7 linked regions of the Ovis aries genome follow. The protein of the gene in region 3 interacts with the protein of the main gene of each other region in a pairwise test. Links are inferred from orthologs where the notes say so. Each region holds a gene or a part of one and is shown on either strand. Other genes may lie near its edges.

Region 1 (4,112 bases), on a different chromosome or scaffold from region 3:
CAGGTTTTTTATTAGAATTAACTCTGCTTAAAGGGGATTTAAGTCTTGCCTGGTGGCTCAGATGGTAAAGAATCTGCGTGCAATGCAGGAGACCCAGGTTCGATCCCTGGGTTGAGAAGATCACCTGTAGAAGGGAATGGATAACTCCAGTATCCTTGCCTGGAGAATTCCATGGACAGAGGAGCCTGGTGGGCTACAATCCATGGGGTTACAAAGAGTCAGACACGAGCAAGCAACTAACACTGTCACTGCTACGTTTTCATAGGGGATTCAAAACCTCCTTCCTACTCCAGCCCTTAAGTACACAGCTTACCCAAAAATAACTAATAATCAAAGCACTCTAGTTAGTATTATAATTTTTGTTTCATTTCCTAAGGACAGATTTGACCCAGATGGTATTTCTATTAGAAACAACAATTTTTTTCCCAGTCCTGTGACTGAAAAAAAAACATATATACCTAGGCATCAGTTCTGCAGAAAGACATTTCTGGACTTGGATGCCCAGCAATAAGCACAAGGCAGGGCTCTGCCTCACACTGGTCAGGCCCAACCCAATCCCCACTGCAGTCTCATCCCTCACTTCTTGGGAGCCCAGTCCCAGTTTCTAGTTTCTGTCCTGCACTGTCAAAGTCCCTGAGACCTAGGGCAAATGACTTTCCCTGTCTGGGCCCAAAAGTCTTCTCTCTGTACAATGAGAGGAGTGGACAGGATGGGTGGAAAGTTGTTCTGCTAAGGGCTGGGACTGTCCATGATGTGAACCAATGTCTTGGTGGAACAAAAGCAGGATCTGGAAATTCACTGATCGTTCCAACAGAGCAAAATAAGGTAATGGGTTTAACCCACTCACTAAAACATCAACATTTCACCTACCTGGAAAATGCAGGCTACAAAAGGAATCAGAAAAGCCAGAATATTTCCAATTTCTTCATGTGCAACCTAAGACAAATAAGAGGAACACAAGAAAAGGAATAGTTAGAGGGGATGAACACTGTGACATGAAGTGCATTACTCTGCATTGGGTCTGGTATAACCAACAGTACAAAATCCCCGCCTGGGTGAGAAACCAGCCCCTGTTCACGTATCAGACCAGGGGGTGACATAAAATCCTTCTGAATGGCCTGGACACACCAAGCACGTCCAGTTCCCATGCATGTGTGCTGAGCCCGCAACCTGGAATGTCCCCACCCCCAGCCCCGCCAACCTCTCAAAATCCAACTCATCTGTCAGTACTAACTTTCCCCAGGTCCTCCCACCTCCTAGTGATGTCACCATACTCTGCTATGTGCCCTGAGGCACTACGTCTTGAGCAACGAACCCCTGTTCCAGTGCATACAGACATTTGGTAAGTATCTGCTTATGAGTTATCATAAACAATAAGAGTGGGAACCATAGCACATGTTGGCCAAAGATGGGGTGTGGAAATAGCCAGCCACCACTCAGGGCCCAGGATGCTGCCATTCCCCAAACACCTTGGTCTCTGTAAGGCCCCTGAGATTCAACCTCAGCTGCACTTCAGATTTTAGCTACCATGGGCTTGGGTGTGACTCTGGCTTTTTTTCAAATTGAAGGATAGTTGATTTACAGTGTTGTGTTAATTTCTGCTATACAGCAAAGTGACTCAGTTACACACACACATATATTCTTTTTTATCTTCTTTTCCATTATGGTTTATCTCGGGAGATTGGATACAGTTCCCCGTGCTAAACAGTAGGATCTTGTCTATCCATTCTAAATGTAATAGTTAGCATCTACTTATCCCCAATTCTGTTTTTAAAGTTAACATCTATCTGTTCATGCTCATAATGGTTCCATGCTTGTTTTTAAGTGCTTGAAATACTTCAAAATTTAAAAATAATAAGTAAAAAGCATTAGAATAAAAAGCTGCTTTGAGATGAGCAGGCTGGCAAATCAACTTCATAGTGATACAGTTCTTTTGACAAAGACACGGGAAGGCTGGTATCCATCTGAATGATATAAATCAGATTATGAGACAACTCTACCAGGGGAAAAAGGGCCTGAATCTTAAACTCTGAGAGTCAAACTTTGCCTGGGATGAACAATCCAGCCCCTGCAGGGACTCTCGGTGTCCCCAGGGCCACAGGGTGGCCGGCTGTCCTTGTAGCAAGTTGTCCATTTCTCACCAGTATTCCAGCAGCCCCTTTGGCTTCTCAGCAAAACAAATACAAAAGAGCAAGTTTCTTATTTGCTCAACTCACTATGAAGAATAAAACAAGAAGTAAGAATTTTACTTCAATTTTTAAAACATAGTGAATAATAACCTTATAAATAATATGCACCCACATCTGCTCCTTCCATTGCGTGTCTTTCTATTTAAACTGTACAGAAAAGGTTACCTGTAAAGAATGTTCTGCGAGGTGAATTCCGCGAATGAGGTTCAGGGCAGCGCACATGATGTTGAGAATAAGGGAGAGGATGCCCAGGGCTGTCACTGGTTCCATTCGGAAACTAGGAGCTTCATAAGGAAGAAAAGGAAGTGTTTAGTGAAAACAATTTCTATATGAAAAAAAAAAAGTAAAAACATGAACTAGATCTCTGCTAATGAAAAAGTTCAATTAAACACACAATTGCAAACCTATTAATTTAAAAAGCAGCTGTAGTTAGAGTGGGAAAAGGCAAGGGATGAAGGACAGAAAGGATCTGGGAATTCAAGGTGAATTTCTTCGAGAAAGAGCCCCTTCTCTAAGCAAGGATAGATTTTCTTAACTGCTTCATTTCCTTTCTATTTAAACCAGCAGTTCTCAGCCAGAGATGATAAGGCTCTTCAATCAATGTCTAGGGACATTTTGGGTTGTCCTCCCTGGGAACAGGTTGCTACAATGTACAGGACAGCTTCCATAACAAAGAATTTCCAGTACAAAATGTCAGTAGGGCTTAGGTTGAGAAATCCAGATTTAAAACTATTTATGGCTTTAGTTGTAAATTGGCTGTCAAACCCTAAAGCTTTTCTATTACACACTTCAACCATCAGCATGTAAAATGTTCCATTCTTTTTCTGGTAGGGACAATATTCAATGTCCTGTGTGCTTCTGGAGCAATTCATAGCAAATGTGATTTTTAAAATTTCAAAGTTATTGGGAAGAGGAGGGACACATGTATTACTTCAGCTACAAGCTATTTCCAGAACTCTAATCAAGACAATATGATCATTCCCTCTTTAAAGATAACTGCTGAAACTGATTCTGGTTCACACCATTAAGCAGGGTCCCACCCATTCTCTTGCTGTGCTCCTTTTATTAATTTTATTTTTTCACTGTGCCACTCGGCACGTGGGATCCTAGTTCCCCGGCTAGGGGTGAACCTCCAGTCCCCAGCATTGGAACTGTGGAGTCTTAGCCACTGGACCACAAGGGAAGTCCTTGCTATCCTCCTTTTAAATCATCCTTTTTTGTCCTCCCATTTCCCGCATATGCATACACACACACACACATACACAACAACAACAATAACAACCCAACTGAAGCCTACTGTTAGTGTGTTAGTTTAAACTATCAAAATTCCTCTCAGAACAGAGCTACCTGTTAAGACTCTAGACTTGGGACAATAGTGGGGGAGTCAAACCACAGTAAAACGTCATAGAAAGATAGGCAAGTTGTCACCTTCCGCATTTGCTCCTCTTGTCTACGTGGTTAAAAAACAAAACATACATCACAAAGTGACCCTGCCTTCAGGTACAGCAAAGGAGAAGCCTGGGGTCTGATGCCCCAGTCGTCCTTCCATGAATGTGAAGTCCAATCCCAGTGTAAATTACAACAACTGACTGAAGGGCATAAGAGTCAATCCAGGAACTCACTGGTTGAAATAGTTCAAATCAAAAACCAAAGTTAAGCCAAAAAATGCAAACATTTTAAAAACACCACTTTCAAAATTCAAGCAATGAGTTTAGCATAAAACTGTTAACAAAGTGACTAGACTGTTATAGCATAGATGGTTCTATCTTCCAGGGAAGGATTATACTATTACAGAGTTCTTAGAATGCAAATATCCAAGTTGGTTTAACTGGATATAACTGTAAACAAACAATACAAAAAAGCATGCTTTGCTATGTGCCAGGTATTGAATGCTTCATGTTGTTAGCGGCAGACTAAGTCACG
Region 2 (4,577 bases), on a different chromosome or scaffold from region 3:
GTGGACTGATGGGCGGACGGTGCCTGCGTCGTTTCTCGCCGGCCGCCCAGGCCTGCCCGCCTGCTCGACTACGAGAGCCCCGCGCCTCGGGCCTCTGAGATGGGTCACTCCTCTCTGTCCCCACTGCCGGTCCCCTGTCTGACACTCCCCGTCCCCTGCACACGCAACAGCAGCCTACCGCGGGGCTCCGCTGTGGCCTCTGCGTGTCCCTCCACAGCTTGGCACTAACTTGCCCTGAGGGTGCAGGTGGGCTCTGCCCCCTCCGCGTGTCCAGGGGCCTCTCAGTCCCCACCTCGGGTGCCAGGAAAGACCCAGGACTTCCTCCTCAGTCAGAGGGGCTGCCCCCTCCTCCGAGCTCCAGGGGGACTTCATTAACCTTCACACCAGGACGTGTGACCTCTGGCACGCCGGCCACTGCACATGGGACATACAGATCTGTCTCTGGGGCCTGATTAGTGACCCTCCAAGGTCAAAACCGGCATCTCCTGTGACACCCAAAACGGGGCCTGCCACACGGAGGCGGTTGCTGTAACAGGGCTGTACGGAATAAAATGGAAAAATAACCCTCCTCGAATTTTTAACGCCAGATGACCCAACCGCTCATCCACTCCTGGTGACAATGAGGCACGGCTCTGTGGAGGACTCACTGTCACAGCTCACTGCAGCAGCTCGCGGGAGGACGTGCCAAGAGGAGCTGAGGCCCGACAATGCCCAGCATCCTCGGGAACCCTGCCCCCATCCTGTCCCTGGCCCACCGCCGCCTCCAAGGCCAGGCTACATGCCCACCCTTCTCTCTGAATCCTTCCTGCCTCTCAGTCCACAAGGGATCCCGTCCTCCTCTGAAACTCCCGACTCCTGGTTGAGGACAACGCCTCTGCCGCTGAGTCCTGCTCCATCTTGCGCTCCGGGCCTAGCACCCATAGGCTCCGTTAGGTAGGTTCTGCCCAGGAAGGAAGGTGGGGAAGGGCTGGGGTCTAGATTCCAGGCTTTGCTGCCTCATCTGGACAGGCTGACCCTCCCTCTTCAGGTGCAAACCCTCCCCGTGGCTCCCTGAGAACCTGAGCTGGTCAGAAATGCCACCCTGGGCTAAGACACCAGACCCAGCAGCTCAGGGAGCTAACGGCATCGGAGAGTCTGGTATTCAGCCCCTGACTGTAGGGAGGCCCCCAAGGGCAGGCTCCCTCCACGCGCCGGCTCTGCAAAGAGGCCAGGGGAATCTTGGCAGCTGGCACCTCCTTGGGGAAAATCCTAAGAGAGAGACAGACAGTAGCCGGTAGCCAAGAAGGGGTGAGAGGGACTGAGGCTCTGAGCGCCTGTTCTACCGGGCCTCCGGGCCCTGAAACCGTTGACACTCCTAGTTCAATAAAACCAGTGACTGATGAGGGACAGGTCAGGCTCCCACGGGAGGCAGGGCGCAGATCCAGCCGGGAGCTTTTCTTCCAAAGACCCAGCTGGGAAGCCACCTCCCCGGCCCTCCGCCCCACCGCGAATCTCGCCCCCCTCTCTTCCCAGGCACCTGCCCCTCCCCCGCCCCCACCCCTTCCTGCCCACCCATTCGCCTCGGCCCGCGGCGGCAGGAAGGGAGGTGCTGGGCTGGGCACGGGCCGTGAAGAGCCACCTTCCCTCTTGGCCCCGCTACCGCCACCGGGCGTCTCCGGCCATGAGCCCCACGGAGCCCTGGAGCCCCAGCGCGGGGACGGCGCCCTGGGACTATTACTCGGGGTCGGGCGCACCGGGCGAGCTGGAGCTGGAGGAGCTGTGTGCGGCGCGGGACCTGCCCTACAGCCACGCCTACATCCCTGCGCTCTACCTGGCGGCCTTCGCCGTGGGCCTGCCGGGCAACGCCTTCGTGCTGTGGCTGCTGTCCGGGGCGCGCGGCCCGCGGCGGCTCGTGGACACCTTCGTGCAGCACCTGGCGGCCGCCGACCTGGGCTTCCTGCTCACGCTGCCGCTGTGGGCCGCGGCGGCGGCGCGGGGTGGCCGCTGGCCCTTCGGCGAGGGCCTGTGTAAGCTCAGCAGCTTCGCGCTGGCCGGCACGCGCTGCGCGGGCGCCCTGCTGCTGGCCGGCCTCAGCGTGGACCGCTACCTGGCCGTGGGCCGCCCGCTGGCCGCGCGCTCCCCGCGCTCCCGGCGCTGCGCGCTGGCCGCCTGCGCGGGCGTGTGGGCCGCGGCGCTGGCCGCCGGCCTGCCGTCGCTGGCCTTCCGCCGCCTGCGGCCGCTGCCCGGCGGGGGCCACGGCAGCCAGTGCGGGGAGGAGCCGTCGGACGCCTTCCAGGGCCTGAGCCTGCTGCTGCTGCTGCTGACCCTGGTGCTGCCCCTGGCCGTCACCGTCGTCTGCTACTGCCGCGTGTCGCGCCGCCTGCGCGGGCCGCCGCACCTGGGCCGCGCGCGGAGCCGCTCGCTGCGCATCATCTTGGCCGTCGAGGGCGCCTTCGTGGGCTCCTGGCTGCCCTTCTGCGCCCTGCGCGCCGTCTTCCACCTGGCGAGCCTGGGCGCGCTGCCGCTGCCCTGCCACTTGCTGCTGGCGCTGCGCTGGGGCCTCACCGTCGCCACCTGCCTGGCCTTCGTCAACAGCTGCGCCAACCCGCTCATCTACCTGCTGCTCGACCGCTCGTTCCGCGCGCAGCTGCGGCAGCGCGGGGCCTGCGGGCGCGCCGACCGCCCGGCGCGCTGGAGCAGCTCGGCGTCATCACTCTCCGGCGACGACGGCTCCCCGTTCAGGAGCCCGGCCCGCGCGGGCGGCCGAGCCCAGACGGCGAGCGCCCCCAAGGCTGTCGGCCCGTAGCTGCTCGGCCGGCGGGCTGCGGGTGGCGCAGGGAAGCGAAGCGGGCCGCTCCCCACCGCCGCCTACCTCCCCACCTCCCCGAGCGCAGCGGACTGCTCCGCCGGGTGCGCGGGGCCTCCCGGGGTCTCCCTCACGAGCTTTCCCAAAATCTCAGCTCTTCCAGCGTCCACCCCCCCCAACCCCCGGCTCGGCTCCGGAGACCCGCTCTCCTCCTGCTCCGCCCAGTGCGCACCTGAGCTTTGTCTCCAGCGCAGTAAACGTCCTGCGAGATGGACCTGCCACGCCGACCCGGGCTCGGAAAGGGAAGTGGCCTCCCTGCTCTGCGCCCTGGGAGAGACGCCCAGAGGCCACTCTCGTCTCGGCGGCCCGTTACCTTTGGTCCCTACAGTCGCCATTGCCTGCTGAGAAATACCTTCTCCAAGCCGAACCCTCTGGCTCCTCTCCAAAGAATCCCGGACCTTTGCGCTCTGCCGTCTTGGTGGCTGTGCTGAGTCACGCGTCCGCATCTTCAATTTCAACACTCACCAAAGCATGGGGAGCACGGTGCTGTCGCGCTCACCCCTTCCTGCTGCCAGCGACCCCAGGAGGCCCGTCCTTCATCTCCCCAGCTCCCAAGAAGCCGCAGGACTCACCCTGGACTTGGGCGGGTGCCTCCCTGCAGACAGAGGGTTCCAGCATCTGTCCCCGGGCACTCGGATGCTCTGACCGGCTGCCACACTGGGCCCCGCAGTGTGAGTTCCCCTTTCTCAATAAACACTTGCTGCCCTCACCCGACAGCTGTGTCTGCCTTTACTTGAGTGTAAGGGACTGAAATGAGTGTGAGGGGGCCACTTAATCACTGGGTCAGACAAAACTCAATCCAGGAGTTGAGGCTGACCTCAAAGTGGTCAGGATTTGGTGTCAAGTTGGGCTAAGGACAGCGGCCCCGCCGTGGGCCCCCCAGGAGGGCAGCCTGTCTTCTCTTCTTACTATTTTAAAGGACGTTTCCCATTTTGGAGGTTTCAGAGAGAGAGGGAGGGGGAAAAGACTGGAGCACAGCTGCCAGCCAGGTGTCACTTCAAAGCGGAAGTGTGGCCTTGTGGCTGTCAAATCCTGGTGGAGCTTTCTCCTCACTCCCTTTGGGCCCATCCAGGACAAATGCTGAAGGGCATCCATGTTCTGAGTCTGCGGCATCCTTGGGGGTTTCTGGAGGGGTTGGGAATTCAGCCTTTATACTTTTAAGCAGATATGGCCTAAAGAAACGTCAGTGCAGGAAAGAACTCAGGAATTCTCCTGGAGAGCCGATCTCACCAGGCCTGCGCCAGGCATGGAGGGCAGCCTTTGGGGCTGTTGGGTTAGAGCAGACTCACACCGCCCATCTGCTGCCCTAGGAGGTAACACTGGGAAGAAACACACCCAGGCCTGTCCCCCCACACCCCAAGGGAGGCAGGCCTTGCAGCCGTGGGGTCACCGGGCTGGCAGGACTGATTCCAGACGCTTCAGTCTTGGAGAGGTCAGTGCACCGTGGCCCTTCGGACCCTCCCCGTCACTCTCTGAGACAAGACATGACCGAGTCACAGGCCGAGGCCCCAGCTCACAGCAGAGGTGCTCTCCTGGGCTGTTCCGACGAAGCCCCCATCTTAAGGCCTGCCCCCTTGCTTCTCCCGATTTGCTGGTACACCAAGCCCCCAAAGACAGATGGAAAGGAAGCTTCTCCACCTCCAACCCCCTACCTCACCAGAAGTTATCAAAACTCAGCATTTCCCTCCCACTGCTGGGAGACTGGAAAATGCTGGTAAGCGAAACAAAAGAG
Region 3 (4,729 bases):
AGCTCTGTTCTAGAGAGCTTGTTCCTAGCACTGGACAGGTGGGACCAGGGAGGGGGTTAGGCAACCCAGATCAGCCGCCCTCTCTAAGGGAGTTGGCCCCTCACTTTCTTCTCCCTCACTTTTTCCTTCCTCCCTTCCTCTCCTCCCCCTCCCCCTGTCCTCCTCTCCCTCCCACCTGGCCCCAATTGTGCTTGGTTTCTTTACAAATAGCCTCCTCTTCCTCAGGAGCTCTGAGGCTATTCCCAAGAGCTGAGGGTTCACCTTCGGTGGCTGTATGAGTCAGAGTTCTCCAGAGAAATGGAACCAATAGGAGGTATGTATGTGTATGTATATGTATTGTTGCACTCACTCACTGAGTCATATCTGACTCTTTGCAACCCCATGGACTGTAGCCCACCAGGCTCCTCTGGCCATGGGATTTCCCAGACAAGAATACTGGAGTGGGTTGCCATTCCATTCTCCAAGGGATCTTCTCAACCCAGGGATCAAATCTGGGTTTCCTGAACTGGCAGGTGGATTTTTTTTTACCACTGACTCACTATGCATATATGTGTGTGTAAAGAAAATTTTATTTAAAGAATTTGGCTCATGCCATCATAGAGCTAGCAAGGCCAAAATTTGCAGGACAAGTCAGCAGGTTGGAATGTTAGGGAGGGGTTGAGGTGTAGTCTTGAGCAGAATTTCTTCTCTGGGAAACCTCAGTCTTTGTTCTTAAGGCCTACAGCTGATTGAATGAGGCCCATTCACAGTATCAAGGATACACAATGTCCTTTACTTAAAGTCCACTGATTATAGACATCAACAGCTACAAAAAGTGCCTTGATAGAAACATCTAGACCAGCACGTGATGGAATAACTGGAGACCTTAGGCTAGCCACATGGACCATAAACATGACCACTGAGGTCTATTCAGTAGGGAAGCTGAGGGAAAATTTGACTTAGAATAGGGGGTGCAGGGCTGGGGACACTGGAGGCTCCAGTAAGCAGGCCCCTCTTCTGCACATCTCTCCTTTGGTTTTCATGGTTCCTGTCCAGGATGATCCAGGGTGTCAAAAGTCATGTCCCTTGCCTGGGAATTCTGGATGGGGTAAGGCAGGATGTGCTCTGTAGAGGATGCTTTCTGAAGGGGGCTATGGCCTGGACTGTTAACCAAAGCTGGCCTTGCAGAAACCACGGTGGGATCTAAACCTGCTTTGGCCACTGACCAACTCTGGAGTCCTGTGCCAGCCCCTCCCTCTATCTAGAAATGAGGTCAAATCGGATGAGCTGAGAGCCAGGGCAGCTTTCCCAGGCAAAGATTCAGAGTCTATCGCTTCTCCTAAGTTGCTTACAGAGTAGCAGAGAAGAAGACCTTGAACCCAGCCAGCAAGATACAGCAGGAACAGGAGGTGCTGGGTCTAATGCTTGAACTCAAAGTGGGAGTCTGGCTCCACCCCTGTGTCCAGATATATCTTCCGCAGAGAGCTGATTTCCCAAGCCTCCTCCGAGCCTTGGACCCTGTGCCTTCTTGGCCATTGCTTACAATTGGTGGTGATGGCAGGAGGAGCAGTCCCTAACCTCAAGGAAAAGATGCAAGTGCCAAAGGATGAAGACCTGCTTCTTGGAAGCTTTAGGGATAACCAAGAGCGCTCAGTGGCAGCAGGTGAGGATCCCCCGTAATGTCCCTTCCCTTGGGTATCTACACCTGTGCATGCATGTTAGAAAATGCGCAGGTTTGGCTTGGCAGAAGCATGAATGTGTGTTTGCATGTATTTGTGGGTACCTGTGTGTGAGGTAATGGGATTGATAAAAGTGAGCCTTTTGTAGCGTGTGACGGGGAAGGTTGGATGAACACCCCTCCCATTGCAAGCCACCAGTGGATCTTAATGCAAAACACTCAGTGGGTTCAATTTATAAGATCATTCAAAGCAATTCTCTCTCCTAACCTTCCAGTACCTTCTTCTGCCCTTTAGAGTAAAGCTCCTTTCCATGATCTACAAGATCCACATAAGGTCACCTCCTCAATATACTTCCTGCTGTGGCATGCTGACTCAGTCCACAGTGCCTTTAAGCCTGTCCTGTAACATCCCAAGACTCTTTCTTCTTCACAGCCTTTTCACTATGTGTTCCCTCTTTCCTCAGATTTTCTATGGCTGGACTCTTTCTCTTTCAGGTCTCTGCCTCAGTGTTGTCTCTGACTTTTCTAGAAGTATCCCCTTCCTTCTGTCTTGTTATCCTGTTTTTATTGTTTTGGGAGCATGCATCTCTTGATTTGCACTGATGGATTATTTCCTATAACCCCCACTCTCGTTACCACTTTCTCTGTACACACACAAACAATCAATTTTTTATTGCTGTGATCTTATTTCTTGGCCATTGCTTGCTCTTTAAGAACCTAGCCCAGAGCTTGACACTCAGTAAACACTTACTATATTTTGAGTACATGAAGAAATTGAGACCTGAGATTAGCCAGTAGATGCCAGAGAATGGGTGTTGAGTGCTTCCTAAGATGTTGGGGGACCCTATCCTATTTTTTGGTGTGTTCTGTGCCCATGAAACCTTGGGATAGCCTCTATGGGTATTCCTTGGGCCTCTGTTCTTCTCCCTAGAAATGAAGGAGCATATATCTCGGTTGCTGGGTGCTTCTCAGCGGCGACAGAAGGTGGATCCAAAGGCTGTTGGCTCTGCTGCGGTTTGGAATATGGCTGCAAACCAGTCCAAGAAGGTGGTACTGTATGGCATTTGGTGGCTAGCTTGAGTTTGGGGGAGTTTGCTACAGTTGTAGCAGCTCTGGTATGGAGATGGTAGGTCAAGCAGGGCAGATGTTGACTTTGGGGGAAGGACAAAGCTCCTGTGTTCTGGGCAGGCAAATGAGGGCAACAAGGTCTGGCAAGAGATCATGGCCATTCTTTGTTAGTTCAACCTTGAGGGTCCAGAATGTCTGAAACACACATTGCTTGTGGAGTACATATCTACTTTCTTTTATTAATAAATTAGTAAATATATCTATATTTGAATCTCTATATGTATATATGTATATATCTATATGTTATGTCTACTCTCTATATATATTTCTATATAGAAATATGCAAAAGTATAAAAATCATTATATATATATATATATATATATATATATATATATATATATATAGTTGCTGTTTAGTCTCTAAGTTATGTCTGACTTTTTGAATCCCCATGGACTGCAGCATGCCAGGCTTCCCTCTCCTCCACTATCTCCCAGAATTTGCTCTAATAAATGTCAATTGAGTCAGTGATGCTATCTAACCATCTAATCCTCTGCTGCCCCCTTCTCCTTTTCCGTTTAATCTTTCCCAACATCAGGGTCTTTTCCAGTGAGTTGGCTCTTTGCATCAGATGGCCAAAGTACTGTAGCTTCAGCAACCATCCTTCCAATGAATATACAGGGTTGTATATATATCTCTAAGCATATATAAATATAGATATACATGTATCTATATCTATCTTAGGGCTGGGACTAGGGTAAGGCAAGTGAAATGCCTATGCTCTCTGGCTACTAGGAAATCCAGTCAATTGAATCTGAGCATTTTGTAGCCAATCCTTTAAGTTACATTCTATATGAGTGAGGGAATGTTCTAGAAAAAATGGTGGCTATACTGTTGCAAAAGATACTGAGAAAAGGCAGTCATTTTGGAGAAGAGAAAGTCCTGACTCTTCTTGGGAATCACATGAATCCCATCATCCTTCTGTAGCCAATTCTTTTAACTACATTCATCTTGGGTGACAGAAAATTTTAGAAACATAGTTGTTAAACCACTGCACGTTTACTGGGAAAGGGCAACACCTTTGGAGAGGAGGGAGACCTGAGTGTTCCAGGCAATCATGTGAGTCTCATGTTTTGTAGCCCATCTGATAAGTAAGCTACTTTTGCTGCAGATGCTGGCAATTTTAGAAACATGGTTGTTTTACTGTTGCAAAGGTTATAGGAGGTAGAGGGAAGGCAAATTGACTGGAGAGGCAGGAAGACCTGATGTTCTAGAAAATCAGCCGAGTTACATTTTGTTCCTCTGTAATGAATTTTTAAAATTATACTAACCATATGAGGGAATGTTGTAGAGAAAATGGTGGCCATGTTGTTGCATTCAGTTCAGTTCAGTTCAGTCGCTCAGTCGTGTCCGACTCTTTGTGACCCCATGAACCACAGCACGCCAGGCCTCCCTGTCCATCACCAACTCCTGAAGGTTACCCAAACTCATGTCCATTGAGTCAGTGATGCCATCCAACCATCCCATCCTCTATTGTCCCCTTCTCCTCCTGCCTTCAGTCTTTCGCAACATCAGGGTCTTTTCAAATGAGTCAGCTCTTCACATCAGGTGGCCAAAGTATTGGAGTTTCAGCTTTAGCATCAGTCCTTCCAAAGAACACCCAGGACTGATCTCCTTTAGGATGAACTGGTTGGATCTCCTTGCAGTCCAAGGGACTCTCAAGAGTCTTCTCCAACAGCACAGTTCAAAACCATCAATTCTTTGGCACTCAGCTTTCTTTAAAGTCCAGCTCTCACATCCATACATGACTACTGGAAAAACCATAGCTTTGACTAGACAGACCTTTGTTGACAAAGTAATGTCTCTGCTTTTTATTATGCTGTCTAGGTTGGTCATAACTTTCCTTCCAAGGAGTAAGCGTCTTTTAATTTCATGGCTGCAGTCACCATCTGCAGTGATTTTGGAGCCCCCCAAAATAAAGTCTGACACTGTTTCCACTGTTTCCC
Region 4 (4,112 bases), on a different chromosome or scaffold from region 3:
GAGAAGGGTCACAGCAATGCACGTGGAGCTGAACACACATAAGAAATGCGTGTGTGGGGCTGAGTGAGATGCGGCCGCAGAGGGTCACCCTCCCCAAAGGAGCCTGTTAAACCGCCACACAATCACCTCCTCCCCCCACACAGCTCCAAGTGCCCGTTGGCGCACAGCGAGCAGGAGACAGTAATAAAGAAAGGAAATCAGCTTTGCGATAATGCAAGGAAATGTAATCCAGCCCAACAGATATGGCGCTAGAGGAAAAATGAGCCATAAAGTGCCCAGCGTTCTCTAAATTTCCAGAGAGGTGGTTGGGAGGCAGAGAGTGTGTCCCTTGCGCTCCTTGGAGGTGGGAGTCTGGCACCAGCCTTGTGTCCTGCCCAGTCTGCCCCAGCTGTGCCTGGACCCGGCCCCTCAACCCAAGCAGAGAGCCACGTGGATGTGGACTCATCCAACCTCAGCGGTTCTTGCCCCTAAAATAAGAGACCATAGAAATAACATTAATAATAAAAATACAAAATACCATAAGAAAAATAAAGCAATGGGAACTTCTTGGTGGTCCAGCGCTTAGGACTCCATGCTTTCGTTGCCAGGGCCCAGGTTTGATCCCTGGTCGTGGAGCTAAGATCCCCCAACCCATGTGATCAAAAAAAGAAAGAAAGAAAACCAAAGCAGGGATATATTGCAGAGAAAGTCATGTTTTTCCTGAACCTCAAACAACAGTAGATATTTCTTAGCCAAAGGAAATGAGGACTCTGGCAAAAGCTTGTGGGAAAATCAGTCCAGTGCCAGACCCTGGGAGCATCGTCTCCCAGGGGTAGGGGGCTCGGGGGAGGTATCCCCCAGCAGGGATGGAGCTCTGGGCTTTGCCACGTGTCACGAGACCTGGAGACCAGCATCAGCCCCTGAGAGATTCCATCTGGGAGCAAGGCCATTGGGCCTCGGCCGGGATGCTCATTCCATGCCCCAGTCCTAAGGCTCCCATCATCTGCAGATTTCATGGGCCTTCCCCCCTCACAGGGTCACCCCAGCCTCCTTTATCTTGCCTCTGTTTCATTATCTCCGCCTGACACTGAGCCACCAAAACAAATTCACAGGTAAATGCAGAGGCAGGTGTGTATGTGGAACAGTTTCTGGTTGCGGGACACCCCCCACCACAGCTCCCCAGCACTGATGCCTGAACCAACCCTCCGGGGTTTCCACCTCCTTTGGGTTCATCCTGCCCCCTTCCTTTGAGCTTCCTCTCCTCCCTGCTCCCCGTGGGACCCTCTGCTCATTTCTTCTGGGTGTCTGCTACCCAACATGGTGGCCTCTAACGTTTGGCTATTTACATTTTAATTAATTTAAATCAGATGATATTAAAAACTCACAGTCACACTCACCACAACCCCACTGCTCTGAAGCTACAGGTGACTTGTGGCCACCAGGCTGGGTGGCGCAAACTTAACCACCTCCATCACTGTGGCCACCAGGCTTGGTGGCACAGACTTAAGCGCCTCCATCACAACAGAGCTCCCCTGCCTTGGCAGGCAGATTTCTTTACCACTGAGCCGCCTAGGAAGCCCACTGCATCAGGTACCATTGCTATCTATTCTTCGGCTGTGGTTGGATGTTGGGATGACTTCCAGGTCAGGGCTACAACAGTCGGTGTGGCTACAGACATTCTTGAAGGTGTCTTTGGTGCACAAATGCATCATTTCCCTTGAGCGCTTGCCGGGGACAGCAGAGGAGCGGGTAACACCTGTGTCGTGCGTGTGTCTATACATCCAGCTATAACAAGTGCTCCATTTCCCAAGTAGTCTAATCAGCCCACAAGCCTACTCCTCCTTAATCAATTTAATGACAATAGGCTCAACTTCTCATCTGTTTTCTTCTCCATCTACAGGAATTCACACTTTCAACAGGATCAAATGAGAGTGTGGGTTTCCGCTGTCTCTTTCCCTTGGAGCCATTCTGGGGGTGGCATGTATCTCTGTTCTTTTATGATGTACTCTGTGGGGCAAACCTGAGCCATTCTTGGGACAGTGGTCTGTCCCCACCCCTGCCTGCCCCCGTGGGGTCTTCCCCTTAGGGGTGAGACATGCCAGCAGGGATGGCTTGCCACCAAGAGTCCCGAGAGGGTCACTCTTGTCCTGGCAGCTTCCCACTGTGTTGCCTTCACTCCACTTCATCAAAGATCACCCACAGGGAGTCCCCAGGCCCACTTCCAAGACCCCAGATTGAGAAAGAAGACATAAAAACTCAAGAACCAGAAGTTAGAGAAATAAGGAGTCCCTTTTCCAGCCGACATCTCACTGAGTGGGTGCGGGAGGACCACAGAGGGCAGAAAGCCATTTCCTAGTGACCTCTGAGTCTGCCCTCTGACCACATCAAGTTTGCTGTTTGAGTAAACAGTGTGCCACCTCCCATCCTGCCCACAAAATGTAGACGTACATGTAACACACACAGAAGTGGGATCTGGTAAGAGGCCGGTCTCTGGAGATGGGTCCTGAGGGAGTCGAGATGTCCCACCTGGGGAGCAGGCTCCACCTTTGCCTTGATGAGAACACCCCTGCCCCCTGCCTGGGGTCAGCCCTCCTGGCCATCCCCTGGGGCTCCAGGGGCACCCGCCCTGGGGGGCCTCCACCCTCACCTGCCATCACTCAGAGAGCTGGCCCTCCATGATGTCACAGTTGAATCACGTACAGTCCCCACAGCCCAGTGCCTCCCTTGTCAAGGGGACAAGGAGGACGGGGCTGGCGGTGGGGAGGTGGGCACCCCACAAAGCATCAAATCCAACACGACATCCAAAGCCTCCATGCTCCCCTCCAACTCATGACCCCACAGATCGGGAACCTAGTGAAACCAGCGTGTCGTTGTGCAACTGGGTGACCAGAAATAGAGGTGTTGGTCTCACCCAGAGTCATTTCTCCAGTAGGTGAATTTACCACCCCCTCCATGGCGGGAAGGGGACGTGGGGCACACAGATCCTCAGCCACTGGCTGAGGAATGAAGTCTCAGTGTCCTCAGTGGACTGGACAAGCTTAGATGGCAGGTTCCTCTCCAGGTATAAGAACTACAGTTTCCTTCCCTGTGGGCCCCTATGCTGTAAGGACTAGAGGAGGTGAGTGTGAACACCCTGTAGAACTATCATTCGAGTGTCTACTGGGCAGAAGGAGGCACCAACTTGTAACGTCCCCACCCTCCACCCTGGTGCCCGAGACCCAGGACTCCAGTGGCTGGTGCTCAGCTGACCACTGCCGGTCTGGACATCCCTGGGGCTTCGCTTTCTTTCTCTTAAGCTTTGCCTGCCTTGCAGGGCAGAGGTGAGGGGGAGAGGGGACGGTGGTGAGTGACAGCACCTCTGCCTCCCCTCCCATAGGCTGGGAGCACTCATGGCCTCCCATCAGCCAGTCCCCTCTCTGTTCCCCTCGCTCATCTTGGCTCCCTTTCTCTTCTCCCTCCTCCCTCTGCAGACGAACAAAGCTGTGGCCAAGGGGGACTTCCACCAGGCCAGCACCAGCTCCCGGCGGGCCCTCTTCCTGGCTGTGCTCTCCATCACCATAGGGACCGGCATCTACGTGGGCGTGGCCGTGGCCCTCATCGCCTACCTCTCCAAGAGCAACCACCTATGAGCTTCCCCGGGCGCACGAGGAGCCTGGGCCAGTCGTGTGCGGGCACAGAGGAGCAAGGCTGGCCAGGGTGGACACACAGGTGGAGATACACCTGTGTGAGGCTGTTACAGTGTAAGTCATAGCCAATGACGCCACGAAGCCCTGGGATTTATGGATTCCCTTTGTTTTCACCCTTTCATATCGTTTTCACAGCACTGTGTAGAGCTTGGGACAAATGGGGCACCGCTGACCCATTCCCAGTGGATGCTCCGAAGATCCTGACCCTCAAGGCTGTCTCCGCATGGATCCTGGTGGATTAATGGCCAGTGCCCAGAATGCCAGAGCATTAGCAACAGACAAACAGGAACATGTGTTCATTTATTTATTTATTTTGGAATATGGTGCAACAGGAAGAGGGCGGGGGACGCATGCTCTTCTGCCGGTGGCCCTGCCTGACTCCACTGGCAGCACCGCCCCCTCTGTCCAAGCACCTTTCCTGCGGGAAGGAAATAGGCCAGGTAGGGG
Region 5 (4,013 bases), on a different chromosome or scaffold from region 3:
TAACTAAGACAGGCTGAATGTATAGTGAGATTCAAATAATTTTTTCCAATCAATAAATAATAAATTTGTCCAAATAAGAAATTATTGGGACTGGAGCATTCTTCAGGGCAATTATAACCATGGGAAATTAGAGCAATAAACCAGATGAATTATGGATGAGGCCGAGAAGCCTAGGTCTTCGCCTCCAAAATAAAATTAGCTACTTAGAAGCATCTAAACTTATTGAAGCTGGTATACAATCAACATCCCAGAGTTGGAAACTCTTCACTAAAATACAGTTCACTCTATTTTATTGTGGTCACAAAGTAGCACAAAACATTTAAGGAAAGCTTTGAACATGGAATAAATAATGTTTGAGGAGACAAAAATCAGAGGGTTTAACAAGCAAATATAATGGAGTTGAGAATAGAGCTGAAAATGGCTACTGCATTTTAACAGAAATTTAATAAATGTATTCTATGAAAAGTTTGAACTGGCCTTCAAGTTATTGGTTTCAGCTGTTACAGTTGAAAGAAAGAAAAAAGGAAGGGAGAGAGGAAGAAGTGAAGGGAAGAAAAAGAGTAGGAAAGATTAAAAAAAAACAACTGAAGTACTCTTCTAGGGCTCAATAAACAATCTGACAGGTTTGTAACATTTCACTGAAACCAGAAGAGGAATTATAATGGACTGAAGTCTCAATCAGGCCCTTAAAACATCTGTAGCTTCGTTTAAAATGACTAGGGAGAAATATATCAGCTTACGGAAAATGGGGAGATCTTCCAGGAGTTGGCCAGTGTTCTAGGTGATGGGTCCTGATGAGCAATTCCTTAAACAACTGATTTACTGCCAGCAGAGAAAAACATTGGAAGCACATCCAAAAACTCATTTGCAATTGAGATTACAAGGGTAGCCATTCTGTCCACCTTCCCTCCCTTACCAAGGAGGTGACCCTGTTCTTGGCAACCACAAAGGCCACAGAAGAACCCTTCCTTCCCTAAACCCTTTTCTTTTGCCCAAGAGTCTCTAGAAAATCTGCCTTACTCTGTTTTCCAATCCTTTCCTCTCTCCCTCTTTTCTTTCTTTTCTCTCCTTCCTTCCCTCCCGGCTCGTCGCAAGCGAGACAAAGTCAGGAACAGGCGGCGGGCCCATGTATTCGCTGACACCATCTGCCACCTGCGATTCATCGCCACTTTCCACCTCCCGGAGGTGAGGGAGGCGGGAGGCCAAGGACACGCAGAGCTTGTGTGACCCAGTTTTTAAGAAACTTTCCGTTGGTCGCAACCCTTCCCCACCCGAAACTCTTCAATCATCCATCAAGCCAGAAAAGCGATCTCTGCCTATCCTTGGAGCTGGAAAAGTGGCGAAGCAAGGAAAAATAAGAGGTTCGCCCCATTCCTTTCCCCCACCGCCCAGCGGCGGCGGGCGCAGAGCAGCGGTGCGGCCAGAAGGGGCCGCTCTGGGCTCAGAGCAGTTGTCCTACCGCCGCCGTCCGCACCTCCCACGGCCCGGCTGGCCCAGCCCCGCCAAGTTCCAACAGCCCCTAGTCGAGCGAGCGCCGGGAACGAGCACCGCCCGGGCAGAAGCACACGGCGCAGACCAGCCAGACTGAGGCGCGCGGCGAGAAGGCTCCGGCGAAACTCTCACCAGCCGGGGACTTTGGAAAGAAGCGAGCGAGCGGTCCCCGCGCGCGCGAGTCCACAAGTGAGCGCTCAGCTCACCTGTTTCTGCCGCGCTACCGCCTTCCCACCCCTCGGACCCTCGCCTCCCGAGCCGCCCGCCCGCTCCCGCGATGAATCCGGCGCTGGGCAACCAGACCGACGTGGCCGGCCTGTTCCTGGCCAACAGCAGCGAGGCGCTGGAGCGCGCCGTGCGCTGCTGCACCCAGGCGTCCGTGGTGACCGACGACGGCTTCGCGGAGGGCGGCCCGGACGAGCGCAGCCTGTACATCATGCGCGTGGTTCAGATCGCCGTCATGTGCGTGCTCTCGCTCACCGTGGTCTTCGGCATTTTCTTCCTGGGCTGCAACCTTCTCATCAAGTCCGAGGGCATGATCAATTTCCTGGTGAAGGACCGGAGACCGTCTAAGGAGGTGGAGGCGGTGGTCGTGGGGCCCTACTGACCGGCCCCCGGCCCCCGCGGCAGCCGCCCCTCGCCTCCCCACCTCGCCAGCCCGGCCGCGCCCTCTCACCATGCGCGACTGGGCGAAGCAAACCTGTCGGAGTCAGTTTTTTCTCTCGACTCTTGCCTTTCGGGATGAAGCGAACCCGTTTATCGCTCGCCCTCTGAAAGTCCCCAGGCCTGGCAGTAGGAAAAAAGAGCCTTGACTCTGGACTCAGCAGCAAGTGGCAAGAGAAGGCGATTAGGGCGCAGAACTTTGGAAGCTGCCGCTAGCGCAGAATGCGGGGACACCGACCCAGGCCAAGGCCCTTTTCCACCCGCAGGTGGGCCAAGCTCGGGGGTGCAGGTGGAGAGGGTGGGCAGGCGGAGACCAACGGCACCTATTGCCTGGTGACCGGAAAAGTGACCCGCATATATGCCACTTAACCGAACTATCGGGGACACGCAAACCGTCTCCGGGTTCGCGCGCATTCCCTCCAGCTCCTTGTAGCCCCGGCAGGACAGGCGATAAATACCTTTGATTGATTGTAACGTGACGTTTTAAAGGGTTTTGTGTTTGTTTGCTTGAATACAAGTATTTGATAAGTCTTTTTCCGCCCTAGTGGCCTGTTTCCCTGCCTGGGGGTTAGAGTTTTGTGTTAGGGGAAGGGGTGGTGGAAGGGGAGCCTGCGAATGTGAATGGGGTGACAATTCTTTTATTGCATTTCCAACTGGGTCTGGGGCGGGGGCGGGGGGGGGGACGGGGACTGGCACTCTAGCTGGCCCCGGGCAAAGATCCGGGATAGAACTCCTAGCTCGTGACTGCACGGTTTACACCACAAAAGTGCTCTTGACATTGGTGACACCGTTTTGACTTTTCTTTTTTTCTTATTTAAAATTTCCTTAATAAATGCAACGTTTAAGTGTTTTTTTTCCTGGCCTCCTGGTGATCATTCTACTCTCTGGGCAGAAGGGAACGGGCGACGCTGAGGGGTCAGGTTACCAGTCCTAAGTGGAATTCGCTTTGGCGAGCTGCGATTCAACTCGCGGATCCTACGCAGGCACAACGGAGGGGCGGGGGGGGGGGGGGGGGGGGGGGGGGGGGGGGGGGGGGGGGGAGCGAGACAGAGAGGCCCAGGGACGAGTGCCCTGGCCAAGTCTCAGGCCCTGGACCCGTCCTGGAGGCAGCATCCTTTGTTTTCCCTTTCAGTTAATATTTTATATTTCATTTAGGCTCAGCGCTGTGAGCCAGGCGAGAAAACGGGAGGCCCCCGCGGGAAGATTACACTTCCGTGCAGGGCTCCGGTGGGAACACAGGGTTACACCGCTAATGAAAGGAAGAGACGGCTTGGCTAGGCTTCAGGGAGGGCATCTTCTCCTGACCAACGTCAGCCAGCAAGCGTCAGGATTCTGATCAAAAAAAAAAAAAAAAAAAGACGAGGAAAAGTAGTTCCTAAAGTACAGAGTGACAGAGTGACGCTGATTCTCCCCGGGGTACACCATTGTTACTAAAAACAAGCGTGTATTGCCTTTGTCATATTACATTTTATATCTGAAGGGCGAAAGTAGAAGATAAACGCGACCTGGGTAATCAGTCCCAGGACCAGCCAAAAGGTTCAGAGGAGTTAACCGAGGTTCTGAATGTCATAGATGTGTGTAACCCAAACTTGGAAGTTGGCCGGAGAGGAGCTACAGATGGTCTTTGGGCTCAGAAATTGAAGGGGATTTGGAAAGAAAAGCCTGGAAAACTGTGAATGTGAAAATAACCCAAAGGATACAATAGCTTTGAGCTGTAACTTGACAACAGATTTTGAGCAGTTTGTTTTTACACCTGGGGTAGGATCCTAAATATTTTCAAAAATATAAAGAATCCTCTGCTATGGTATAGCAATTAAAAGCGTCACTGTAGCAGATACAAGGTGGACTAAAATTAACAA
Region 6 (4,112 bases), on a different chromosome or scaffold from region 3:
TTCCATGTCCGGTTCTAACTGTTGCTTCTTGACCTGCATACAGATTTCTCAGGAGTTACTTCATTTTTTAAGTTAAGTTTAGTCATCTACTGATTTACTCTAATGTAAGTGAATCAGATATTCCATTTATACCTCCTGCCCCCTCAAGGTACCATAGTTTTTGTTGTAATGTTAACCAGTTGACCTAATGATTTCTTAAATATATTTAAACCTCTCTTTCATATTCCATCAACCTTGCCAAACTCTAGATCCGTCATTTTGTAAACTGAGGATAGTAACACCCATATCCTTCCTTAGAAAAACTGAAACTAAGTTAAAACATGTAGTGGCATGAATAGAAATATTCACTACGGTCAGTGTCTGAAAACTCATGCTAAAGTACATGAGAAAAGCTTGGTATAGATATGAAACAAATAAAAATATGGCAAAATTCATTTACTGAACAGGTACTGAATAGCCCTCTTTAAGCGGCTCAGAAATTGTGGCATTGGAATTATGGAGAAGTAAATATTAGAGACAGCACACCACGTGGGCTCTGCTGAATTAAGAGTATAAATGCTAGTTACTAGTGTTCAATTTCCAGAATTAACCTCTCTCCAAAGGACAGAAAATTTGATGATGGGTCTAGAATAGAGAATATATTTATTTACTTTTATTGTTTGTGCTCCTCAGCCCCCAAATTGCTTTTCCATAATTCACAGTACCTAATAAATGGTGAATCATGTCCTGGACACACACATGCATGTATACGTGTGGAATAAGTACTTCACTGCACAGCACCCTTATCACAAACGGTAATTTCTAGAATATATGTATTCTGACTCTTCTAATTCTTGGGGCGGGGGGAGGGGAATGGAAAGGAGTAGTTGCAACCCACTAAATTTATTTCATGATCGGGGTGGAAGTGTGAACTCAAATATAAGATTATTGCATCTTTTCAACAGATAATGTGGAAAATAAGCCTATGAAATTTTTTCTTGCTCTCTCTTTTCTTTTTTTTTTTTAACAGGATTTTGGCACTCTCGATTATCAGGAGTTTGTAGTTGACATTGAGTCCAGACTGAGGATGGAAGGTGTAGAACTTAAGGAAGAATGGCAAGATGAAGATTTTCCAATGTGAGCAACGTTTTTAAATGAAAACAGATTCAAAACAGAACTTCACTACTTCTTTACTGAGGTGTCACTTACTAAATGAATATTGATTGGACTTCTTAAAGAAACCCAGTGTTGCAAAATGTTCATTTAGTACTAATAATAGAGTCTTCAGAATTTCTAGAGGAAGATGGTCTTTAGAAGCCTGCAGGAATTATTAAATTTTATGCTTTTATTTTAAGACAAAAACTTGTTAAGTTAGACAAGGAAAGCTTTCTATATTATCTGGTGAGCTACCGTGACACATTTGTGTTTGTGTTTACGATTCTGTCGGCACTAGTTAGGGTAAGAGAGAGAGAGCAAAGGCAGACCGTATATTTAAGGGATACTTCTGTGCCATTTTGGTCAGAAGACCATCTCAGTGCATAAGAAGGTTACTTAGCAGTTGGAATAGGAACAGCTGGTGAGTACTGAGTCATTGCATAGCACAGCATGATAATCGTGGTACAGAAGTGCTGAGCTCAAAAACATAATCATCATGTGCATATTCCCATTTTAAGTGACAGTTTAGCTTCATCGTACATTGTATTGTACATTCCATTAAATTCATGCATTTGAAGCATATTCATTTTGTAAAGTAATGATTTTTAAAATTTGTTTTGTAGTTGTATTCAAGAGCTGTTACATAGGGAATATATACCTACTTTTATGTGTTACTTATATAGATATGTAAATCAATTGAGACAGTTTGAAATTTTTCTTTAACAGTAGTTTGTAAATTACTCAAGCTTAAGAAACATTGTTTTCTACATAATTGTTTCTATAAGCTATTTTAATAGATCTTTGAATGTCAAAAGATTTTTTTTTTTTTAATTTCTGGGTTAAAAATTATGTCTGTGTGTTTTAGACCTTTACCAGAAGATGATAGTATTGAAGCAGATGTATTAGCTGTAACTGGACCAGAGAGTCAGCCTGGTAAGAACTTGACACTTAGAAATAGACTTTTATCTGTGGTATTTCTTTTTAACACACTTTGTCAAGATATAAAATATACTCAGTTTTTGTTCCATCATAGGGTGCCAAAGGGTAAGTTAACTGTTTAGGAAAGCATTTTTGGAATGCTTTGGAATACTTTGCAAAAACATACCCTTGGGTTTTAGAAATTTTGATCATGAAGGAGAGAGGGAAGATGATTTTTAGTAGTAAACAGTGACTGGAAGTTTTGCTTCTGTTATTTAAAAAAGTATGTCCTTGCTGGGATGTGTCAGCTTGCTGTGATACAGAAACAGTAGTGATCAAAGTCCAAAGTTTGTACGTAAGGGCTTTGGAATTGTTTAATGAATGTTATTTTCTCAAGAATAAAGTGATTAAAGTTCTCTTATTCGATTTATGCATCTAAGCATCTTTTCTAAATATATCTTTGATTTTTCTTTTTAACCCATTCCAGGCTCGCTAGAAGTTAATGGCAATAAAGTGAGAAAGAAACTAATGGCTCCCGACATTAGCCTAACTCTGGATCCTAGTGATGGCTCTGTGTTGTCAGATGATTTGGATGAAAGTGGGGAGATTGACTTAGATGACCTAGATACACCATCGGATGACAGTAATGAATTTGAGTGGGAAGGTAGGTGTTTCGTTGATTTTACCTGACCTTTATTAATGATTGTTTGTGTTCATGTATATGCACAGTGGCATTTTCACTTGATCATGAAACCAACTAAAATCAGTGATTAAGGGATTTTTTTGAAATGAGATGTTATCAATTCTAAAGTTCATGTATAGGTTGTAAAGATATAAAAATTGGCTAACGTTGAATATTATGGCTTTCCAAACTGTTTATAGTAGATTACCTGTGGCTTTATTATTTTTTTTAATTGCCCAGTGCTATAAAATTATGTTTTTCCATTTTGCTCCCAAATATTGCTTGATAATTACAGCGTTCTTTTATTCAGTGGATTAAATAAGAGGGAAAGCACTGAAAAACATATTTCAGGGAATTCTTAAAAGTAGTTAAGAATTTGCAGAGAGGGAGTTCTATAGGGATGGTTTTGAGGTGTGTTTTTGAGGGTTTTTTTTTCAGTGGGTTCATCTGATAGTGCTGCACTTTGTAAACGACCAACTTGAACTAATGTAGTCTCCTTGACTCCACTCTTAGATTTGTTATCATTAGCTATTTGGAATTGAAAGGAATTGGCATGTGTTTTGCATTGCATGCTTCCTTTAGTTAGATAATTGCTGTCTAGTATCTTTGTAGTTGGGAATAACTTATATATGCATATTTCATCTTTTAAGTGTCTTTTGCTTCCAAGCAAAAGTTTAGCACTAGGTATGTTATCCGCAGTAAAGAGTAAGATTCTTAATTTACTTTATCTTTTGTTCTTTTTTCTTCCCCATTTTACTGGTTCAATAAGCAATCCAGTAGTAAACAATATTTTATAAAGATACTGAAATAGTTTTCTGCCTATGTGTTTTGTCTCTTCTTTCTTTAATGCTGCTGTAGTCATTTCCTGGAAGGATATTTTCCGTTAACAACTTTGTCTTGGAAACAGACAACTAACATACAGTAGGTTTCCCCTTCCCCCATCTTTTGGTAAGGACTGTGATACTAAAATTTTGAAAATCATTACATCATGAAAAATCAGCTAAAATGCAACCTTAAACTGTAAATTATACCTAATCACTGGTGCTTGTGCTTTGGCTAATGTCAATTTAAAATAGACTTTTGCATGTACACTTTGGAATATTATCAAATAATTTTCTGCTTTATGAAACTGATCAAATGAGAAGTAACCATTGACTTGTTAACCACTTTCTATCTGGTATTATAATGTTTGGGGAATAATTTATGTGTTCAACAGCAAAAAACATTGGCCCCCAGAGAGTTGCTTTAGTTAATATAGTGGTAACTATCTGTCAAGGACAGTGTTGTCAACAGGATCTGCAAATTGTAGATGTACATTGTACTGCGATTAGGTCCTCTGTGAATTAAGCAATACAAAAAAAGTTAAAGAACTATGATT
Region 7 (4,573 bases), on a different chromosome or scaffold from region 3:
GCTCTAAGTGTAAATTCACATCCACTTTTGAAGAGTTAGTATGAGGTAAACATGAACATCTCATTAATAATTTTTACATTGATTGCATGTTGAACCTGTATTTTGGACGCATGCTTGCTAAGTTGCTTCAGTTGTGTCGGATTCTTTGGGACCCTATTGGCTGTAGCCCGCCAGGCTCCTCTGTCCGTGGGATTCTCCAGCCAAGAATATTGGAATGGGTTGCCATGCTCTCCTTCAGGGGACCTTCTGGACTCAGGGATCCAACCGGCCTCTCAAGTCTCCTACACTGGCACGTGGGTTCTTACCACTGAGCCACCTGGGAAGCCTCATAATATTTTGGATAAATCAGGTTAAATATACTATTAAAAAAAAAAAAAGCAGCTCTCACAGATTATACTAATTCACTGAAAGTGACTCAGCTAGTCGAGGTGATAAACCAGACACTGAGGTAGAAGTCCAGGTTAGGCGAAAAGGTCAACTCAGAATAAGGAAGGCAGTTCCTTAGAGCTAACTTTCACCTCTCCTGCACGATAGGCAAATAAGCACCTCTGTAAAATCTTTGGAACTGACACTTTTCATTTAACCACTAGTCTCGCTTTAATTAAAGCCTGTCCATTCATGGACCTAAGAAAACAAGAGTAGCCCGAAGTTTTCCCAAAGTGGGAAACTTCTCGGGCCTGTTGTTCAATGGGGAGACCTAAGAAGGCCAGAATGAGAGAGTAGGAAGCATCACCTTGGTTTAGAAAGAAATGAGGTTCTCACACCATAAGTATCATCCTTATTTCAGTCCCGAAGATCAAAGCAACAAAGGTTAGAGCTGACTGCCTAACAATAGCTTTCCTCTCCCAGTTCCCCATTATCGCTCTATCAGTCCTGCATTCCCGTAACACTCCTCTTGAACTGAATGCAGCCAGCTTTCCGAGCGCAGTTTGCCTCCGGGACAGGGGATCAATAACTGCCACGTCTGTCATACTTTTGTTTATATAAGACCAAACCTCGATCTCCAATTTTCACCTGGGCCTGAGTGATCCAAAACAATCTCTACAAGTCTCATCAGACACCACCTTGCGCCCCCACCTACCACTACCCCCGCTATTCTAAAGCCTCCAGCTGAGGAAAGCCATCAGCTTAGGCACCACTACCCCCGCTATTCTAAAGCTTCCAGCTGAGGAAAGCCATCAGCTTAGGCACCACTACCCCCGCTATTCTAAACACTCCAGCTGAGGAAAGCCATCAGCTTAGGCAAAGGGAGACACACTGTCTACGACACACGAAACAGAACCTACGCGGGCCACTTCAACAAACGCGGGGCCTCGCCCTCTCCATCACACAACGTTGCGCCCCACCCCTCCCAACCGGAACTGCAACTCCGGCGTTCCGTGCCCCCTCGAACCGCGTGACGCTCGCGGCCGCCCCGCCCCTCCGGACCCACTGGGCAGGCGCGGGGCGTGCGCATGCTCGGCAGGGCGGCTGCCTGGGTATTGAGCCGCTGCAATCTGTTGCGCCGCCGCCCGCGGGAGCCGGCAGATCCGGGTCTCGTGGCTTAGAGTGACGTGGTCAGTCGAATCAAAACAGAGGAGGGGAGGAAGCCGGCGGCCAGGAGCGGCGGCGGCAGCGGCTTCCCGAGCAGCCGCAGCGTTCCGGAAGCTCCAGGCGGTCTTTCTGCCGAGGCTTAGTCCGGGCCCCCATCCTCCCCGCCCCGTCGGTTGTTGTCTGGGCGGGTGAGTGTCTCCCATTTCTCCCACCGCCGTTTGCCGGCCCACCTTCCCCTCGCCCGGATTTTTCCTGGGGGCTCTGGCGGGCTGCGGCGGCTGCGGCAGTGCGGGGCTGCTTCTCGGGCTCAAGGGGTCCCCAACCGGGCTGGCGACTCTGCATCGGGAGAAGCCCGCTGCTGTCGAGCCCGCGTCCTCCGGCGAAGAGCCTGAGATTTGGCTTTCTCTGCAGGAGACCAGAGTCGGGACTTGGCAGGGAAGTGGACGGTAGCCACGGGTGGTTTTATTTTTAGGGCAAGCAGTCAACTCGGGTGGAGGCGTATAATGGAGTAAAAAGAAGAGTGAGTGAGTCGTAGCTGGAAGGAATCCCTCACAAACCTTGCAATCTTCACTAAATCATTTACCTCTGTTTCTCAGCCCTTGCCGATTCTGATGTAGTCACCGGGATGCGTCCTTTGTTGTGATTGATGAGACTAGAAAGCTGCCATCCAGAAAGCGGGAGCTTTTAGCCCTTATAGTGTTGTGAATTTAAAGGATTCCCTTTTTCTGTTTGTTCAGTACATGGAACCAGAGCTGACAGTAAAGAGGTGGTACCCTTTATTGGAACAGATAAAGTGCGATAAACTGGTTACCGGAGTACCCGAAGTCCCGTGTTACCATTAGAGCCAGTTTTCCGAAGTGTCAGTTCGTGTGTGTATTAGGATTTTAGCCACAGTGATGTTCGTTAGCTGGAGAGCGTCAATAGGGTGTTTTCAGTTGCCCTAGTTTACAGAATCGAGGATGTGGCCTTAGGAGAATGTCTTGGCTTTGCATAGAGAAAGTCGGATGAGCTTCCTGCACGTAATACCCACGTTTAAAGAGATCTTCCAGTTACTGTGTTTTGTCAGAAACCGTTGGCAGCGTAGAATAACTTGGACGGCGTAAGCCCTTCCAGGGGAAGTCTTGAGCCCCTTAGGAGGCGTTCTCACTGCCCAGTCTGTGGAGCCTGCAGGTTTGTGTTCCCTTCCACTTTAGATGACCCGCCACGCAGATTCTTCTGGGGTAGCCTGCTTCGAGCCCTGCCACCCTCCGCGCCTTTCCACCGGATGAATGAGACCAGAAGACCAAACCTCTGTTTTGTCCTTAGTTTTTTAAAGTTTTTTTTTTTTCCCCCTCCAGAGAATTCATTAAATTGAGGTGTTTCTTTAGCAAAAGGCAAGAAAGAGAGCTATGTATTAAATTGATTGTCATTTATCAAATCCAGGAAGAGGTCTTAGGAATTTGAACTACTCCCTTGAAGGGTATATTATGTCCTTGTGTGGTATAAAATGGACCTCTTCCTAGCAGGTTTCTTCCTTCAGCGTGTGCAATCGAGATCTTTTTTTCTTAATACCACAGTTGGAATGCTGCTGATCGAAACAAATGAAGTTATGTTTTCTTGAAGTTCTTTCTCTTTTTTTATTTTTTAAGCTAACCTATACCGAAATATTTTTGTTTGTATGAAATAATTTGTGATAATTGGAGAAAATGTTGATTAAAGCAGATAAATGAAAAAAAGAAGAAATGTCATCGATATTCTTGCCATCCAGAGACCACCAGAATGTCAGCAGTGGTTTATATCCTTCCAGACTTTTTTGCATTTAGATATTTTATACAGAAATGGTATCATACCTCATGTTCTTCTGTAACCTACTTTTTCACATATTAGCACTTCATTTTTGAGTAACATTACAATTTTTATAGATACTCTTGGACCTTAACTTTTATAGAATATTTGCTGTGTGTTTGCCAAACCATAATGATTAAAATTATGGTTTTAAAAGATTTCCTCTCAAATCTCTCATGATGATATTATAAGATTTATGAAATCAGTATGCATTGTGTGACAAACAGACTTTGCTTGTTTAACTCTTGGGAAAACAGGCACAGAATAGCCTGAGTTAACACTATGGAAGTTTGAAAAACTTTTGCTCACTTGGTGATTTGATTTAGTTGCCATAGCTCCTGTATGTCCCAAATGTTGACCAGCTGTCCATGCCTCCAGCAGTAAGGTCCTAAAAGATTTTACTTTATACACTTAATATGCTTTATGAACACTGAGTCTTGGATGTGTGCCTGCTTTTAGTTCAGTGCTTTATTAGTGGTGCCAAAAGAGAAGCAAGGTTCCCTGCACCTCAGCTTCAAAGGATAAGTACTTAAGAGTATCCTCGGAGAAGGCAGTGGCACCCCACTCCAGTACTCTTGCCTGGAAAATCCCATGGACGGAGGAGCCTGGAAGGCAGCAGTCCATGGGGTCGCTGAGGGTCGGACATGACTGAGCGACTTCACTTTCACTTTTCACTTTCATGCATTGGAGAAGGAAATGGCAACCCACTCCAGAGTTCTTGCCTGGAGAATCCCAGGGACGGAGCCTGGTAGGCTGCTATCTATGGGGTCACACAGAGTCAGAGATGACTGAAGTGACTTAGCAGCAAAGAATACCCTAAATATACTAATAACCCACTTGGGTCCCTTAGTCATAAACTTACCTACATGTGCCTTGAATGGTAGTGTTCAATATGTATTCTAGATTTGTCCACTTCTTCCCATCTCTACTGCTACCGCCTTTGCCAACTCTCACCGTATCTCACCTTGCCTACTGCAGAAACCTCTGGTCTTCCTGCTTCCACTTTGGCTTTTTATGGTGCATCCCCTTTCCCACAGGGAAAGGGATCCTGTAAAATGTCAGATCGTGTCACCCCTTTGTTGAAAGTCTCTCATCACATTCAGAATAAAATCCTACCTTTCTCAAGGTTTGCCAGGCAGTAGAGGTCTAGGCACTGCCTTCCTCTATCTCACCTTGTATCCAAATGCCTTGATCAGTACCCAGGAGTCTGGCAACA

The links.
Region 1: the proteins of FATE1 (region 3) and SEC22C interact in binary tests that used the Homo sapiens proteins (3 or more experiments, as listed by UniProt). The two-hybrid records come from large-scale screens. The link is inferred for Ovis aries from reciprocal best matches to the Homo sapiens genes FATE1 and SEC22C.
Region 2: the proteins of FATE1 (region 3) and GPR25 interact in binary tests that used the Homo sapiens proteins (3 or more experiments, as listed by UniProt). The two-hybrid records come from large-scale screens. The link is inferred for Ovis aries from reciprocal best matches to the Homo sapiens genes FATE1 and GPR25.
Region 4: the proteins of FATE1 (region 3) and SYNDIG1 interact in binary tests that used the Homo sapiens proteins (3 or more experiments, as listed by UniProt). The two-hybrid records come from large-scale screens. The link is inferred for Ovis aries from reciprocal best matches to the Homo sapiens genes FATE1 and SYNDIG1.
Region 5: the proteins of FATE1 (region 3) and RPRM interact in binary tests that used the Homo sapiens proteins (3 or more experiments, as listed by UniProt). The two-hybrid records come from large-scale screens. The link is inferred for Ovis aries from reciprocal best matches to the Homo sapiens genes FATE1 and RPRM.
Region 6: the proteins of FATE1 (region 3) and BNIP2 interact in binary tests that used the Homo sapiens proteins (3 or more experiments, as listed by UniProt). The two-hybrid records come from large-scale screens. The link is inferred for Ovis aries from reciprocal best matches to the Homo sapiens genes FATE1 and BNIP2.
Region 7: the proteins of FATE1 (region 3) and SMIM14 interact in binary tests that used the Homo sapiens proteins (3 or more experiments, as listed by UniProt). The two-hybrid records come from large-scale screens. The link is inferred for Ovis aries from reciprocal best matches to the Homo sapiens genes FATE1 and SMIM14.

The regions. Positions count from the first base shown.
Region 1 is NC_056072.1:14,701,196-14,705,307, forward strand, and holds part of SEC22C (vesicle-trafficking protein SEC22c), read right to left. Parts: intron 2,474-4,112; coding exon 2,355-2,473; intron 937-2,354; coding exon 871-936; intron 1-870. UniProt on the Homo sapiens protein: May be involved in vesicle transport between the ER and the Golgi complex.
Region 2 is NC_056065.1:78,883,177-78,887,753, forward strand, and holds GPR25 (probable G-protein coupled receptor 25), read left to right. Parts: upstream 1-1,581; 5' UTR 1,582-1,660; coding exon 1,661-2,785; 3' UTR 2,786-3,559; downstream 3,560-4,577. UniProt on the Homo sapiens protein: Orphan receptor.
Region 3 is NC_056080.1:84,015,440-84,020,168, reverse strand, and holds the start of FATE1 (fetal and adult testis-expressed transcript protein), read left to right. Parts: upstream 1-1,474; 5' UTR 1,475-1,533; coding exon 1,534-1,642; intron 1,643-2,588; coding exon 2,589-2,704; intron 2,705-4,729. UniProt on the Homo sapiens protein: Involved in the regulation of endoplasmic reticulum (ER)-mitochondria coupling. Negatively regulates the ER-mitochondria distance and Ca(2+) transfer from ER to mitochondria possibly implicating it in the regulation of apoptosis.
Region 4 is NC_056066.1:42,084,900-42,089,011, forward strand, and holds part of SYNDIG1 (synapse differentiation-inducing gene protein 1), read left to right. Parts: intron 1-3,449; coding exon 3,450-3,608; 3' UTR 3,609-4,112. UniProt on the Homo sapiens protein: May regulate AMPA receptor content at nascent synapses, and have a role in postsynaptic development and maturation.
Region 5 is NC_056055.1:156,127,665-156,131,677, forward strand, and holds RPRM (protein reprimo), read left to right. Parts: upstream 1-1,570; 5' UTR 1,571-1,768; coding exon 1,769-2,098; 3' UTR 2,099-3,004; downstream 3,005-4,013. UniProt on the Homo sapiens protein: May be involved in the regulation of p53-dependent G2 arrest of the cell cycle. Seems to induce cell cycle arrest by inhibiting CDK1 activity and nuclear translocation of the CDC2 cyclin B1 complex.
Region 6 is NC_056060.1:48,740,490-48,744,601, forward strand, and holds part of BNIP2 (BCL2/adenovirus E1B 19 kDa protein-interacting protein 2), read left to right. Parts: intron 1-672; exon of another isoform or gene 673-794; intron 795-1,009; 5' UTR 1,010-1,066; coding exon 1,067-1,116; exon of another isoform or gene 1,117-1,133; coding exon of another isoform or gene 1,134-1,177; intron 1,178-1,999; coding exon 2,000-2,067; intron 2,068-2,539; coding exon 2,540-2,716; intron 2,717-4,112.
Region 7 is NC_056059.1:59,423,073-59,427,645, reverse strand, and holds the start of SMIM14 (small integral membrane protein 14), read left to right. Parts: upstream 1-1,498; 5' UTR 1,499-1,721; exon of another isoform or gene 1,722-4,573.